Neurospora crassa OR74A: one gene and its partners. The protein of the gene in region 2 binds, or shares a complex with, the protein of the main gene of each other region. Links are inferred from orthologs where the notes say so. Each region holds a gene or a part of one and is shown on either strand. Other genes may lie near its edges. The genes, in order: NCU02256, NCU00334 and NCU00812.

What was found.
Region 1: NCU00334 (region 2) and NCU02256 share a complex: the UniProt entries of both Saccharomyces cerevisiae proteins name them as parts of the RNA exosome complex. The link is inferred for Neurospora crassa OR74A from reciprocal best matches to the Saccharomyces cerevisiae genes RRP45 and RRP6.
Region 3: the proteins of NCU00334 (region 2) and NCU00812 are in contact, whole or in part, in a crystal structure (PDB 5OKZ), measured with the Saccharomyces cerevisiae proteins. The link is inferred for Neurospora crassa OR74A from reciprocal best matches to the Saccharomyces cerevisiae genes RRP45 and SKI6. Residues at the interface, in NP_010566.1 of Saccharomyces cerevisiae: Thr97, Glu99, Asp100, Val102, Leu103, Ser105, Arg106, Glu109, Lys110, Arg114, Ser115, His191, Thr206, Glu207, Asn209, Ile210, Lys211, Asn215, Glu217, Asp232, Leu239, Arg243, Glu244, Val245, Val246, Gln247, Val248, Ser249, Lys250, Ala251; in NP_011711.3 of Saccharomyces cerevisiae: Arg95, Arg96, Leu98, Glu99, Thr102, Ser103, Val105, Arg106, Met107, Lys110, Phe155, Asp156, Val190, Glu194, Lys195, Leu196, Ser197, Leu198, Leu199, Leu200, Val201, Glu202, Asp203, Lys204, Ile205, Pro206, Leu207, Asp208, Leu210, Glu211.

Annotation. Positions count from the first base shown.
Region 1 is NC_026507.1:3,162,618-3,167,668, forward strand, and holds NCU02256 (exosome complex exonuclease Rrp6), read right to left. Parts: upstream 3,095-5,051; 5' UTR 2,962-3,094; coding exon 2,384-2,961; intron 2,325-2,383; coding exon 1,991-2,324; intron 1,936-1,990; coding exon 379-1,935; 3' UTR 131-378; downstream 1-130. Other genes in the region: NCU17251 (hypothetical protein), read left to right, coding at 3,644-3,684, 3,737-3,774, 3,836-3,912, 3,981-4,074, 4,130-4,131. UniProt on the Saccharomyces cerevisiae protein: Nuclear-specific catalytic component of the RNA exosome complex which has 3'->5' exoribonuclease activity and participates in a multitude of cellular RNA processing and degradation events.
Region 2 is NC_026503.1:3,486,738-3,491,028, forward strand, and holds NCU00334 (3' exoribonuclease), read right to left. Parts: upstream 2,336-4,291; 5' UTR 2,267-2,335; coding exon 2,100-2,266; intron 2,019-2,099; coding exon 1,292-2,018; 3' UTR 809-1,291; downstream 1-808. Other genes in the region: NCU00333 (ADP-ribosylation factor family protein), read left to right, coding at 1-490; NCU00335 (pre-mRNA-splicing factor cwc15), read left to right, coding at 2,696-2,728, 2,820-3,608; NCU00336 (U3 small nucleolar RNA-associated protein 10), read right to left, coding at 4,085-4,291. UniProt on the Saccharomyces cerevisiae protein: Non-catalytic component of the RNA exosome complex which has 3'->5' exoribonuclease activity and participates in a multitude of cellular RNA processing and degradation events.
Region 3 is NC_026501.1:7,076,620-7,081,653, reverse strand, and holds NCU00812 (exosome complex exonuclease RRP41), read left to right. Parts: upstream 1-1,730; 5' UTR 1,731-2,337; coding exon 2,338-2,645; intron 2,646-2,754; coding exon 2,755-3,268; 3' UTR 3,269-3,568; downstream 3,569-5,034. Other genes in the region: NCU00813 (disulfide isomerase), read right to left, coding at 3,569-4,933, 5,011-5,034. UniProt on the Saccharomyces cerevisiae protein: Non-catalytic component of the RNA exosome complex which has 3'->5' exoribonuclease activity and participates in a multitude of cellular RNA processing and degradation events.

The DNA of each region.
Region 1 (5,051 bases), on a different chromosome or scaffold from region 2:
GTCTAATACCAGTAATCAGCTTGGGCAAACTGTAGTGTAGGTGCAAGTTGATTGTGTGAGGTCAAACATGCAGGATATATAAAGACATAAATACTCACACCGGTCGAGACTCTGTATAATTTGATGCAAGGTTTCTGTGGCTCAGCGTTTTGTAGAACAGGATGAAAACTCGACGTCTCTTGGCCGTCATCAGTTATTGCTTGGTATCTATGTCTCTACCATAAGCCATCTCTTTCTCTTCTCCTGTCGCATATACTAAAACGCACCGCGATAATAATAGTCCAAGTAAAAAAAATAAGTGGCATCAATGGCCAACACAGCACTGATCGTTCCATAATCTATCCTATTTGCCCTCCATCTTCCTCATCCGCCGGCTCCTCACTTCTTAAAGGTAGCCGTCCTGCCAGCCGCCTTGGCCGTGTAATGCGCTCTTGCGCCCTTGGGTCCTCCCTGAGACTTGTTTTCATACGGGTTAAACCTCTTATTCGCCTTCTTGACGTCCTCCTGAGTCTTGCGAGCACGCAACACCGACGCAGCCTGAGAGTAATCAAACGGCTGATCTTCCTTCTCCTCGCCCTCCGCCTGCTTAGCGGCAGCAGCAGCTTCTTCCTGCGCCTTCTTCTTTGCTTCCTTCTTGGCGGCCTTCTCTGCCCTTCGCTGGGCCTTGAGAGCTTCCTTGGCCTGCTTCTTCTTCTCCTTGGCCGCTTTCCTGGCTGCCTTTTTGGATTTCTTGGATGACTTGTCGCTTGCCTCTTCCTCCTCCTCCTCTTCTTCCTCGTCGGAGTCGTCACCTTCGGCTTCACCACCGGTTTGCACGTCGGTTTCGGTCTGAGGCGCGGAATCCTCCATTTCGGCATCTGAGGCCTCCTCTTCTTCCTCAGACTCTTCCTCGCGCTTGCGCTTGCCTCCGTTCCTAAGAGTGAATTCCTGGTTGACTATCACCTCTTCCGGCGCCGGCTGGGGCTCTGGCACCGCCTCTTCTGGTTGATCCACCTCCATCTCAGCCGTAGATCCGTCCATGAAGTCGGCCGGATACGGAAGGGTGATTTCCAACACGTCGTCAAGCTTGGCAGTCTTCGCAGCCGTGCCGTCCCAGACTGAGCTCAGAGTGACGCCGCCCCAAAATTGTGACCGGTCAGCTTTGAGCTCCTTGACGTCCGGAATGTCGCTATCGTCGGCGATGACCGCAGCAATCTTGGCGGGGGCGAGGATAGATGACTCGCTCTTGAAGATATCCATCATCTTGGGACCGTTCACACCTTCCTCCCTAGCCTTTTGAATGACGTCGAATAGATCATCCAAATGAGACTTGAGGCCCTTGGCGTTGCTATCCAGAATACTCCACAGAGCCTTCTTGTCGGTCGGGAGTATCCGGGCAATGTCGGCCAGAACCTGCTGTGTCATAAAGAAGAAGGGACTCTCGTCCTCACGACGAGCCAAGTTGTCACGCCATTGATGTACGGCCTTGTAGACGGCAAACTGCTCGCCGTTGTAGAGCGTTGGGGACTTCAACAGCACATTATACCACCCGCGGGGTCCCTGGCCGGTTTCGACGTTGTAGCTAAGGTTCTCGTATCGTTGCAGGGCGACATCCTTGGACCTCTCGAGGACCTGCTCGAGAAGGTCAGGCTTCGGCTTTCCGGGTGTTGAGCGCTCCACGAGCTCGTTGATGATCATGTCGAAGATGTAGAGCAGGTAGTGGGTATCCGACCGCGCATAGTAAAACATCTCCTCGGGGAGAGGTCTGATGCGCCAGTCCGCAAGCTGATACTTTTTGTCGGCTTCGAACTCGGCAAACTTGCTAAGCAAATAACCCAAGCTCCTTCCAGGGTACCCGAGAACGGCGCAAGCATGATATGTGTCGAAGAGACCTACAACGTAGAGACCAAGATCTCTCTGCAGCCAGATGACATCCATGAAAGCACCGTGAAGAACCTGGGTCAAGTTAGTCGATAATACAGTGAAAGCAGAAGGCCAGGATGTGTCTCACCTTGACAATGTTGGGGTTCGCAAAAACCTCATTCAGAACCTCAAGCTTGTGCCTCCAAGGTTGAAGAGTATCAATGACCCAATCCTTCTCTCTGGTACTGATCTGCATGAGAGACAACAGTCCGGTGTAAGACCTAAAATCGTGGTGCTCCAGATCAAGCGCAATTTCCTTGGCCTGCTTGAGCTCCTCCAACATCTCCAAGACGCCCTCATAAGTATCAACCCAGATGGCGGATGTCGAATCGATAGGAAGGTACTCCTTGGGTTCGCGCTTCTTGTACACATGCTCAGGGTACGGTGTCGTCTTGATCTCGGTTTCGTAGGGGTGTTTGTATCTGGGAGATTCATGTTAGCGACATGCTCTTATGATATTGGAAAGAAAGGTTAGACGTACTGTGTGTTGTTGTCATCATCGACAAAGGTGGTCAGGCTGTCTTCCAGTGACACCTTGGCATGAGGCTTGGACGACAACAGAGGCTTCCAAGGACCGGTAGCGAAGTTATCGACCTTCTTCTCGAAGTTATTCTGTGGTTTGAGAATGTTGGCTCTCTTCAAGGACCAGTCAAGACGATCGTTAGACGACTTGACGCGTTTTTGGGCGCGGCCCTGGTCGGCGGGGGTAGGCGCATCCTTCCGCTTGATCAATCCGGTGTACTCGTCGAGGCAGGTGTCGGCTTTCTCGAGCAACGAGTCGATCACGTCGACAATGTTCCGCCATTGGATGTCCACGTCGTCGGCATCTTCAAGAGCGCCAACCTTCTGGCCGGTAAGATTCGCGGTCGACTTGAGGAGCCCGTTGGCCAGGGACAGAAGGCGGCCGGAGCTGTTGTCGAGTTGACCACCGACAGTCGGGTTGACGGTGCGCTGGAACTGAAGATCCTCGCTGGCGATTGAGTTGGCGGTTCGGGTCGTAGCGACCAGGGCGGCTTGGAGCGATTCCCTCAAGCTCTTGAAGTCCAGTGAGCCGTCCATATTGGCCGGTGGTTCTGGAGTCGTTGTGGTGTGGACGTCACTGGAAGTGGAAGCCCGGTTCAATTTTCCAAAAATGGTTTGTCGTTCTGCTGCTCTTTGGGAACTTTTTTTGCGGACAGTCCCAGCATGTGGCTTGTGGAGAAAGCGCCAAAGTGAACGGGACCTCGAAAAGTGGAAGCTGCCCGATGGATGCCATCAAGTGGGCCTCGAGTGAGCTGTTCCCGCTCTGCGCTGGTAGAGGTACCTGATGGCCCATGCTGGGAAGTAGAAGCACTAAAGTAGAGAGACTTTGGGCAGCCGATTACATAAGGCCAAGGGGGCGCTTGCCAAGAGCCAAGATTGTGCTGATCTGGACCACCAACGTTCGTTCATCCATCGGCGTCCAGGCTTTTGAGATCCGTCCTGTGACGAAGTGGAAGTCCGCAACCCCATTGTTGAATAGCACCTGGTACTTGTTGGTTTCCAAGCGGACTCACCGGTGAACGTTGATATTTGAGATTCCGTACAACCGTCTTTTCCACCAAAAATATTCACCTGGAGTATCTCACGAACACCCTTCTATACGATCTTTTGCCCAAAACATAGATATACCGTCGATACCCATAAGTCATCGGACACCGTACCAAGCCTATCGTTTTGTTGGCAACACCTACGGTTGAAAACATAGCTCTGGACTTTAAAGATGTCCCAGTCACTCGCCAAGGAATGCAACGAGGCCAAGGAGTAAGTTTTTGTCCTTCATACGGAAAGAAAACAACATCTTAACCAGTTGTAGACGTTACGACACTTGCTTTCTCAAATGGTACAGTGAGAGTAAGTCTACAGGAACAGACACCCCAACTCAGTGGACATGTGTGATACTTATACTGGACAGAATACCTTAGGGGCAATGGTACCGAACAAAATAACGAATGTTCAATTCTCTTCAAGGAGTATAGCTCTTGCCTGCAGGTAGGACGCAAAACCATACAGCGCCCGTACTCTAGCATCGAGATAGCTTACCATATGGCATTTTACAGGTTGCTTTGAAAGAGCGTGGCATCGACAAGCTGCTTGAAGAGGCGCGGGAAGAACTCAAGGACAGCGACTCAACATACATGGGCAAGAAAAAATGTGAGTTTGAGCTTACGAACATGGCCAAAGTTGAAAGGATGACTGACTTGCTCAGAATACCAGAGCTGGACGACGTCTGAGTACCTTACTGTACCACTCGTCGACCAACTCCTTGAACAAAGCCGCAACAATCCAGTTATTCTCCTTACATTGCTCAATTATCTCTTCTCCGTATATATCATATATCGCCTGGTATTCGTGGAAGGACTTTCCATTATGCACACCCTCCATGTCTTGAACAAAGCCCATGTACCAAAAGTGTCACCCGCTGGTCTTTGACTGTACCTTTCTGATTATATCTTCTGTTGAGTTGTTTTCAGTGCTCTCTGTTATGGACGGAAGCCATGGATGACTTCAAGTCGGTTGAATGTTCCCCTTCCAAATAAGGTTTCCCGTCCTTGAGAAGTGGATCCTCCCCAACATCCAATCGGTTCATTACAGAGTGCCGTGCAGTCGCAGCCAGGTCGGGTTGCGCTCGGGGACTCTGGCTTCTGGGCGCTAGAACTTAGAACGCTCCACACTCCCTGTAATACTGCCTAAACTGCTTCGATAAACTTCAGCGCGAGTCTGAGCCGAGTCTGTCCACCACGACACGACACATAACGCATCTGATCGCCCTGCTCCCCCGTCCCCGTCCCAAATCAACAAGTTTTCGGCTTCCCGTTGTGCTTCCCGTCAGTACCAGCTTTGCCCGACTTCGACCTACCTAATCCAACCTCTTCGAACCGTCGAGTATTGTTTTCCCCCTCCCATTACAGCGCCCGCCAATTCCTCATATAACCGCACCCACTATCCGCCCGCATTTCCTCTCCCCACACAAGGGAAAGTGACATCGGACTACAGCATCTACCGGCCCAGACTTTTGCCGCGATCGCATGCTCGAACAGTAAGGGGCAGCGCGCCTCTATGCACCCCTTTTCTGTTCTTACACTCGGCATCTTCGTAGCTGGGTATATCACCGCCCGATGGGACCTCGT
Region 2 (4,291 bases):
AACGGTTCCTACGGTCGGCCAAAATGTCTCCACCATCACCCTTCCCGACATGTACCTGAAGCTCTGGGACGTCGGCGGCCAGCTCTCCCTTCGCGCCCTGTGGCACTCGTACTACTCGTCCTGCCACGCCATCATCTTCATCATCGACAGCACCGACATCGGCGACGGCCAAATCGAGCGCGATCAGAACAACGGGCGGCTGGACGAGTGTCGGGCGGTGTTGGAGGATGTGTTGCAGCACTCGGAGACAGAAGGCGTACCGCTGTTGATATTGGCGAACAAGCAGGACCGGGAAGACTGCGTAGAGGTGGTGCGGATCAAGGAAGGCTTGGTAAAGAAGGTCTTCGAGGGCGAGAAGAGCGCAAGTATCAGAGACTCGAGGGTGTTGCCGGTGTCGGCACTAACGGGGACGGGCGTGAGGGAGGCGGTGGAGTGGGTTAGGTCAAGGGTAAAGTGGAACAAGGAGTCGAGGCCGCCGGTTATGCGGTGAGAAGCGGGAGCGGTTGATGATGAAAGACCAATTCATGACATAACCCACGTTCGCGACCAATATCGACGAACATCGACAGCGCCGGGGCAGAGGATTCTATGTGGGAGCCAAATCCTCCCTTTGGGTTCGGCAGGCAATGCTTGGATCTTGCCTGCCGTCGAGGATCAATATCGCTTCCTGGAAGACTTAAGAACTAGGCCAGGAGCGGTACGTGATCACGCAGGTTTCTTCCAAAAAGACCTACAACACCCTGCCATCACGCGAGATTACCCTGCCATCAGATCAAATCACTTCAGATTCGGGCAAGATTGGATCGTGGGGGGAGTGGCGTAGAAGCAAATTTAGGGCTCAGGCTTGGTCTAAACTAAAGTTTGGAGCTCATTGCGTCCAGAGATAGAGGCTAGGACCCTGTGGTTACCTGGCGCCAATGCTTTCACCTCATTCATCTGGCAGCTTTAGCGGCAGATGAGGACTTGGGGACTGAGCTGATGGCGAGATACACTGTGTAACGTTAGATGGCAATTTCGGTCGCCGCTAACGGGATAACTCCCTTTAGACATGAGGGAGGATACGGCACTCGCGGCGCCCCCCATCATAATAATAGAGCCCATTCCGCGGAGTGACTTGCCTCTTGGACAATTCTTGCCGTTCTCTTTTGACTGAGAAAAGTAAAGAGACCAGCTGTAGAGCTGTCCCATATCCTCGTCAGGTTTCGCCTTCAACCACACAGCCTTGTTGTTCTGCTTGGCTCTATGGCCGTACCTGGGTATCTCACTTCTTCCTCTTACGTCCTCAACCGCTTCACCCAACAATGCGATCATTCTCCGCCCTCAACTCAGCCATAAACCCACCCTTATCCCTCCTCTTTGCGTCCTCCGCCAACTTGTCATCCAAGTAAGTGGAGAACTCCTTCACCTTCGTCAGCGCCACGCTGGTACACTGCAGTAGCGCAACTGCCTCGACCGGTACACCCCCGAGCTTCGCGATCTGGCAGATCTCTCCGTGCCTGTTCAAACTAATCGTGACACTGGCGACCCTGACTTGCTCCTCCATCCAATCCGCATCCAACAACGCTGTCTCACCCTCCTCGCCAAAGAAACTCCACGTCACGCAGAAAGGCGAGTGCAGCCAGCCCAGCGGCACCGGCTCCCGCTCCGCAGGCGTGTACACCGTCAGCACGCCATTCTCCATGCTGGTGTCGGGCTTTCGGAAGTGGCGAAGGGCGGCGACGACGGCGAAGCAGGCCGCATCGGTCAGGTTGCCGTCGTGCGAAAGCACGTGCACGTCGACCCGGACGGACCAGCACTTTTGCCCCGCGACCAGACAGAGCGACTCGGTGTCGAGGGCGCCGGAGCGCCGGACCGTCTTTTCGAGCAGGCGCGAGAGCAGCACTTCGGTTTCGGTGGGCCGGTTCACTTCGAAGTGAGGCGCGGCCATGGGGGAGAGTTCGGTGGCGATGGTGAAGATGCCGTCGAGCGGGCGGTCGGCGAAGGGGACTGTTACTTCGGCGGAGGCTTTGGCAAGAATTCTAAAGATGGGAGTCCCGGTTAGTATCTTGGTGCCTCAGGGGTAGGATATGCGTGGTGGTGGTGAGAGTACACAAACGTACTTTGTCTTGCCAAGCGATACATTGGCGACGCCATATTCGTCTCCAAACGTGAGCTCTAGTGGACGGTATTGGTCGAATTCACGGCCATCGAGGCGAATCTGTTCGTCTTGAAGCGCCTTCAAGAGAAAGGCCTTCTCGTTGGCTGACGGTTCTGCTTCTCTGGGCATGTTGACTGAGGTTTGTTTACTTTTTCCCTTTGAAAATACGTGGTTGCGGATCTAAAGAATCGGGCAACATCACTGGTTAGGTAGGTGCTGCAGTTGCAGTCGCTATGGTCACCGTTTCTGCCACTAAAGTCCGCCAGAATTTGGCGGGTTTTGCCGCTGGCGGTCAAGAAGTGCGCCTGCGAGACTGAACCCCAGGGCGTCATTGGATCCATTTGTACCACTACTGCCAGCCAGTTCCTTCTTCAGACTTCAGAGCCATTGCTTCAAATCAGGAACAACTTTACTTCCCTCTGCAGCAATTTCCACTTCCAACACCCCTCAACAAATCACGGCCCATCTCGCCCTCTATTGCGCGCGCTTCATCTCTCACGCACCGGCATCATCTATCAACTCAAGAAAAGAACTGCGTAACCGAACCAAGCCGCCAGAATGACCACAGCTCACAGACCTACCTTCGACCCGGTACGCATCCCACCACCCTCATCCTTCTCATCCCCAACCAATCCCGCCATCCTCTCGTGCACCCACTAACATCCATTCTTCTCAAAACCAGGCCAAAGGCAAAGAAGCCCTCCGCGGTCCCGCCTACCACCAGCGTCTCCTACCCGCCTACACCCAGCTCAAGTTCCGCAAGCCCGGCCAAGGCGGCGTTGCGGGGGCATCTGAAGAGCGCGACACGCGCGACCTGCGCGCTGAGCTGCTGGCTGCCGAGGAGGCGCACAAGGCCAAGTTGAGGGGCGGACCTGCTCTTACCTCTGGTGATGACGATGTCGATAACGAGAAGGCGGGAACCAAGCGCCCATTGGCTTTGACGGGCGGTGATCACAACAAAGAGGAGGAAGACCAAGAAGCGAAGCGACGAAGGATATTAGAGTTGACGAGGGAGATTGATGCGGATGATTCTTCTGATGATGTTGATGACGACGACGCGGATGCCGATGACGCCGATGCCAAATCACCAAAAGCCCAGAAGAACCAAGATGACGACGACGCCTCTTCAGACTCCTCCGATTCTGATTCCGACTCCGACTCCGACTCAGACGACGAAGAAGCCGAACTCCAGCGGGAACTCGAGCGCGTGCGTCGCGAGCGTCAAGAGAAGCGCGAGCGCGAGGAGCTTGAGCGCCAAAAGGCCGAAGAAGAACAGCGCGAGAAGGACATAGCGCTCGGGAACCCGCTGCTGAACAAGCCGGACTTTACGGTCAAGAGGAGGTGGGACGACGACGTGGTCTTCAAGAACCAGGCGAGGGGTGTGGACGATAGGAATAAGAAGAAGGAGTTTGTCAATGATTTGTTGAGGAGCGACTTCCATAGGCGGTTTATGAGCAAGTACGTTCGTTGAGGGAGGAGAAAGAGGAGTTTGAGGTTGGGGGCTTGTTGCTGCCGTTGCTGCCGCTGGGGAAAGATTGCGCAGTGGCGGAGAGAGGAGAGGAGCGAAGATACCCAGAGCGGAAGGATACAGGGCCAAGAAGGGGAGATATATTCCTCTTTGCGACACATCTTGGTTTGAACAAGTTTCTGCATGCATGCTCAGTGAGCGAGAAATAGACGATTTCACAGGACACGATTCAAGCACAACTAACAACATTTTCAATGATCATTGCATATCTATTCACACCGAACCCAACCATGATTTTTTTATATCTAACGCCAGTTACAAATGCAAATGCTACACATAGTCCCATCCATCCTCAGGATATATCCTTTACCTTCAACATGGCCAAAGACATCGATCATATACCACATGTAAACGTTTTCCCGTGACCAGTAGTCACAGTATGTACTCTTTCAATAACCAACTCCAACCCTCGTAACCCTTTACTGCAACATATTATCCAAGCTCTCACCAAGCGTCTCCTCAATGCCCACAATCCATCTCCTGTTCTCCCTCTCCACAACCTCGTCATCATCATCCTGCAGCTCGCTAATGAATGGCAACATCTCCGGCAAGCTCTGGAGCCACTCCTCACCCAGTCTAGCAGTGAGCTCCTGCTCGCACTTGATGACCGCCAACCTGACGGCCGC
Region 3 (5,034 bases), on a different chromosome or scaffold from region 2:
TTGGCTGGCCCCTTTGCTATCCCCCGCCTACATAATTCGCCGGCAGTTCGGTGGAACAATGGAACCCTTCGACGACGCACAAAGGCGTAACGCTGACTTCCAGGTTTGTATTATGCAGCACCTTTGACCCACTGCAAGAATAGGTAGGTCACGTCCAGCTTGCCAAAGTCAAAGAAGCCATTGTTGTTTCGCTGACAATAGACTCGTCATCGTGACCCCATTCGTTGAGTTCCTTTCTCTTCGTTTTCACTCAAAGGGGCCCAAGACAGGACGCACGTGCATTGACTGGTGTTCTGGAGATTAGGTGAGCATGGGGGCGGGAAGGTTCCGTTGCTCTGGCGTCAAGGATAGCAGCGCTAGCCCTGTTTCTCGAAGCCTGGTCGCGGTCGGGTGGTCTGAAACGAGATGAACGGAAACGGGGGCAATGCCAACCAAAGAGCTTTGATCCCTAACACATGTCCGGATTAAGTGCCGCGAAATGTGTTAGCGAGCCCCCTTGGCTAATTCATGGTTCGTTCATCCACAGTTTGATTAAAAGTGTAATGCGAATTGGCGTTGGCGGGTCGTTCCTTGGTAGACTGGGCAACACAGCACTTCCCCATTGCCCCGTTTCTCCGTTCCATTGGACCCCGTGGGCTGGTCGGGCCACCAGCGCAGTAATTCTTCAATGAGTAAGCGCGCACCTCGAGGTTTTCACAGTGAAACGAGAAACAAACCGCGCCTGATGAAACTGTTTAGTTGACAAAGACATTGTGGTCACTGGATGACGACTTGCTCATGGTGGATCTCTGTTCAGTCATATCGATAGACTAGGCCAATTCGTGCTAGCCTGGGCCGGCTGTCTAGGGCTGCATCATGCGCCGACCGACGGCGCCTCCTAGTGTAGAGACTTGATGTTGAACAAGTCTCCCCAAAAACACCAAACGGAATCCTCTTGAACCTTGATCGATTCGCACCCCAGATAGGGAGCTCCAGGAGCATTGGCGAGCGTTCCAGACTTCTAGAACCGGATCACTCTTGGGTCCGAGATGATAGAAGATGACGACGCGCTCAACCGAGGCTTCCAAGAATACAAACCAATTGACATTTCGAACACCCAGCGCATCGCGGTACCCATGAGATGATCTTGGTGGCCGTTGTCCCGTATTCACTTAGCGAAGGGGGGAATGGAGGAATGCCGGTTTCCTCCTTGCTGTTGACAAGGGGTCACTGCCACTGCCACAGTGTGCCCCTGAGTAGAGGTAGCCTACCTACCTCTAGGTAGGCTACCTAGTAGTGATCACTCCTGAGTCCAGACTTCAGGCCCTCTCCTGCTCACAATGCACGATCAAGATCCCATCAACATTGCGCATTCGATTGATATCTTGCCATCAACTCACTGTACCGCTATGAGCTGGAGAGGTCAAATGGGGGCTGTCAAGATCACGTGGAGAGTAGATGGACGGGAACCTTCAATTCCATGTTCCGGGGCCATCACGTCCCGTCCTCTGTCTGCAGCTGCAAACAACTTGCCTACAAGTAGTGTAGAGGTATGCACAGACCACTTGCATGCATTTTCAGCTCCTGATGGAAGCGAAGCAGAACTTAAGCAGAAGCCCTGCGGATGGAACTCCCGTCCTGCCGAGTGAGGTGAGCGGTGGAGCCCGGCACGGCGACCCCGCGAACGTGAGACGCAGCGGATCTTGCCCCGCCCCGCCCAGCTAAACTTTTCCTGTCTTGCCATTGGAAACTTTCGGCCTGGCCCAACCACGTCCGTTTATTCCTAGCAAAAGGCGATTTCAAAGTCAACAACCGTCCACCAGAACCTGCTGTCGATTATTCAGACTGGTCGACCGGAAGCTCCGAATTCCCACTTTGCGCGATAACTTAGTCACTGAAACTGGGGCCCCGACACTTCCGCATTACGCAAGCCTTTCTCTCCTCCGACTCAACGTACCGAGAGCTTGCGCGTCGCTCGCGGCACGATATCGCATCGAATAATCTGTCCCATCGAGCCGAAACTGTACGCACTAACCACGATCTCCCAGATCGAGCTTGGCCGACCCGACTCGAAGAACGACTAGGGTACAACTACAAGCACAACCTGAGCTTGGTGGACACTAAGCAGGGGAAGCAAGAGCAAAAAATCTCGACTCAGGTCCGGCTCCCCAGACAGGCCCTCAGGGCGTTTGTTGTTGTTGATCCTTACTGGATACCGTACCCCAATCTCGACCTTTGGTGTACTCGCTACCTGCCCGGTAGAGAGATTAGCCCGAACCACGATACCCAGAGGAGTAGAGTGAAACGCTAGAACAACAGAACATAGAAAGAAACACCTGTCCACCCAGCTACACCGCTATGCCTCTCGATACTTCAGCATATAGCCTCGCGCTGTTGCGCGTCGACGGCCGCAGGTGGAACGAGCTGCGTCGCATCCATGCCCAGATCCGCACCCAGGCCGCCGCCGATGGCTCCAGTTACCTCGAGATGGGCCACACCAAGGTCATGTGTGTCGTTAACGGACCCAGCGAGCCCGGTCCTCGGAGGGGAGCCACGTCGGGCGGTGGTGGTGGCGGTGGTCAGTCCAAGAACGCCGAGGTTGCTGTAAACATTGTCATTGCCGGGTTTAGCTCGGTTGACCGTAAGCGAAGGGGGAGAGGTGATAAGTAAGTCAAAACACCCAGGGGTTGTTTCCCCCCCAGTGTCAACTACGGCTATTCGTCTGTCACTGTTCGCATAACTAACCCGTCATCCTTCCTTCTTCCATCATCACAGGCACATCCTCGAACTCCAATCGACGATATCTCAAGCCCTCGCTGCCAGCTTACACACCCACCTCTTCCCGCACTCCACCATCAACATCTCCCTGCACGTGCTCTCGCAAGACGGCTCTTTGCTGGCCGCCCTCATCAATGCCGCCACGCTCGCCTGCGTCGACGCCGGCATTCCCATGACAGACTACGTCGCGGCCTGCACGGCCGGCTCGACGTCTACATACGCGGCTAACGACGAGGGCGCCGACCCGCTGCTGGACATGAACCACCAGGAGGAGCAGGAGCTGCCCGGCCTGACGGTGGCCACATTGGGCGACAGCGACCGCGTGGCGGTGCTGGTCTGCGAGAGCAGAGTGCAGGTGAGTCGCCTGGAGGGCATGTTGGCCGTGGGCGTGGACGGGTGTAAGCAGGTGAGGGAGATCTTGGACAGGGTAGTGAGAGAGAAGGGGATAAAGATGATACAGGAGGGCACGGTCGAGAGAGGGGTTGGGTTGAATGACATGGAACTGGATTGAATGGACACTACTGAATCAATGGTTGGGCTCCGGGTCACAGAATCGGATATGGTACGGTAGGTAGCATTACAAAGGCTTGGAGCAAAAAAGAATAGGCAACATGACGAATTTGACGAATTTCACGACTATCAATGTAATCAAAAGTACAGCTCTTGGTCAGGTGAGCAACATGTCGTTTCTGTTAAACGTGCGCCAACTTTTGAAAGCGTTCTCCGAAACTGAAAGGTACCAAAAAACCTTCAACTTTTGACCAGCCATTCACTGACACAAGTCACAGCAAACTACGCTTTCACCAATCTCTCACAGCTCATCGTGACCACTGGCCGTCTTCGACTGGGCCTCAGGCGTCTCCCCCTCCTTTGAAGCAGCCTTCTCAGCCTTACCAGACTCTTTCTTTTCCTTCTTCTTCTCCTCCTCCTCCGTCGAAGAAGCCTCAACAACAATACCCTCCGGCAGCTTTTTCTTGGTGCCCTCGCTCAACCTAATCGCATCAATCCACGCCTCCACCTTGTCATGATCCGAGAAATCATCTCCCTCACCAACAGCGTCGTAGCGTCTCCACCATCCGCGACGGGCGTTGATGACGATGAGTTCAATGTCAGCATCCTCCTTGAGGCCAAGGGATTTGAGAAGGGACGCGCCGGCGGGGTTGGTGTCGAGGGGCACCTCGTAAAAGGGGAAGAGCTTGTGTTGGCCGAGGGCATATTTGAATTTTATTTCGGCGAGGTGGGTGAGGGCCTTTTGGGCTTTTTCGTTGGAAGAGGATACCAGCGCGAGAAGGCAGGTGCTGGATTTGGACGTGAGGCATTCCTTGACGAGCTTTTCGGGGGTGTTGAGGGAGGGGATGGGGAGGGCGGTGTGGATTATTACGGGAATCTCTTGGGTTGGGGCAGGGGTTTCGGAGGACGTTTCAGAGGAGGTTTCGGAGGAGGCGACCTTCTTGGAGTCTTGCTTTCCGTTTTTTTCACCACCGTTGGCCTTGCCGTTGGCCTTACCATTAGCCTTGCCATTAGCCTTGCCATTAGTCTTGCCATTAGTCTTGCCATTAGTCTTGCCGTTGGCCGGTGCTGGGTCCGGATTAGGCTGGGCCGCCTGGGAAAGGAACTCCACCATGGCGGCCTTGTTGATCTCGCCGTCGTACACAATACCAGGGGCATCACCGCCAGGCAACAAGATCAGAGTAGGGAGTTTGTCGACACCGAATGTGGATACCGCCTTGGACTGAGTGTTTCGCACCTGACCGACGGGCATGACACCGAGGAATTCAATGGCGACGCTCTTCAGCAAGGGGGAGGTGGTACCCTTGTCGGTGAAGAGGAGCGCTTTGGCTGTCTCGTTCTTGTCACTCAGGAACTTGTCGAGGTTCTTGTCCTCGACTTTCACGACGTGATTGTTGATGCGCGAGACCACAGCATCGACAATTGCGCTGGCGGTGCGCTGGCCTTGGTAGTCCTCCACTATGGGCTTGCCGTTCTTAGAAGGACGGATGATCTTCAAGGTCGGGAAGCCCTGCACGCCCATGCTGCCGCAAAAGGGCTTGTTGGCGTCCTCATCGCAGTTGACGGCGGCGACCTTGGCCAGGCCTTCGAGGTTCTTGGCAGCCTTTTCGTAGGCGGGCTTGAGGTTTTGGCAGTGGCCGCACCAGGGGGCGTAGAACTCAAGAATCTGCAAGGGAGAGAGGTCAGACACATACATGCATTATTACGATGGCTGATCTAAGATATAGTCGGTCTGGTACTTACAGACGTCTGGTTGCTCTTGGCAAT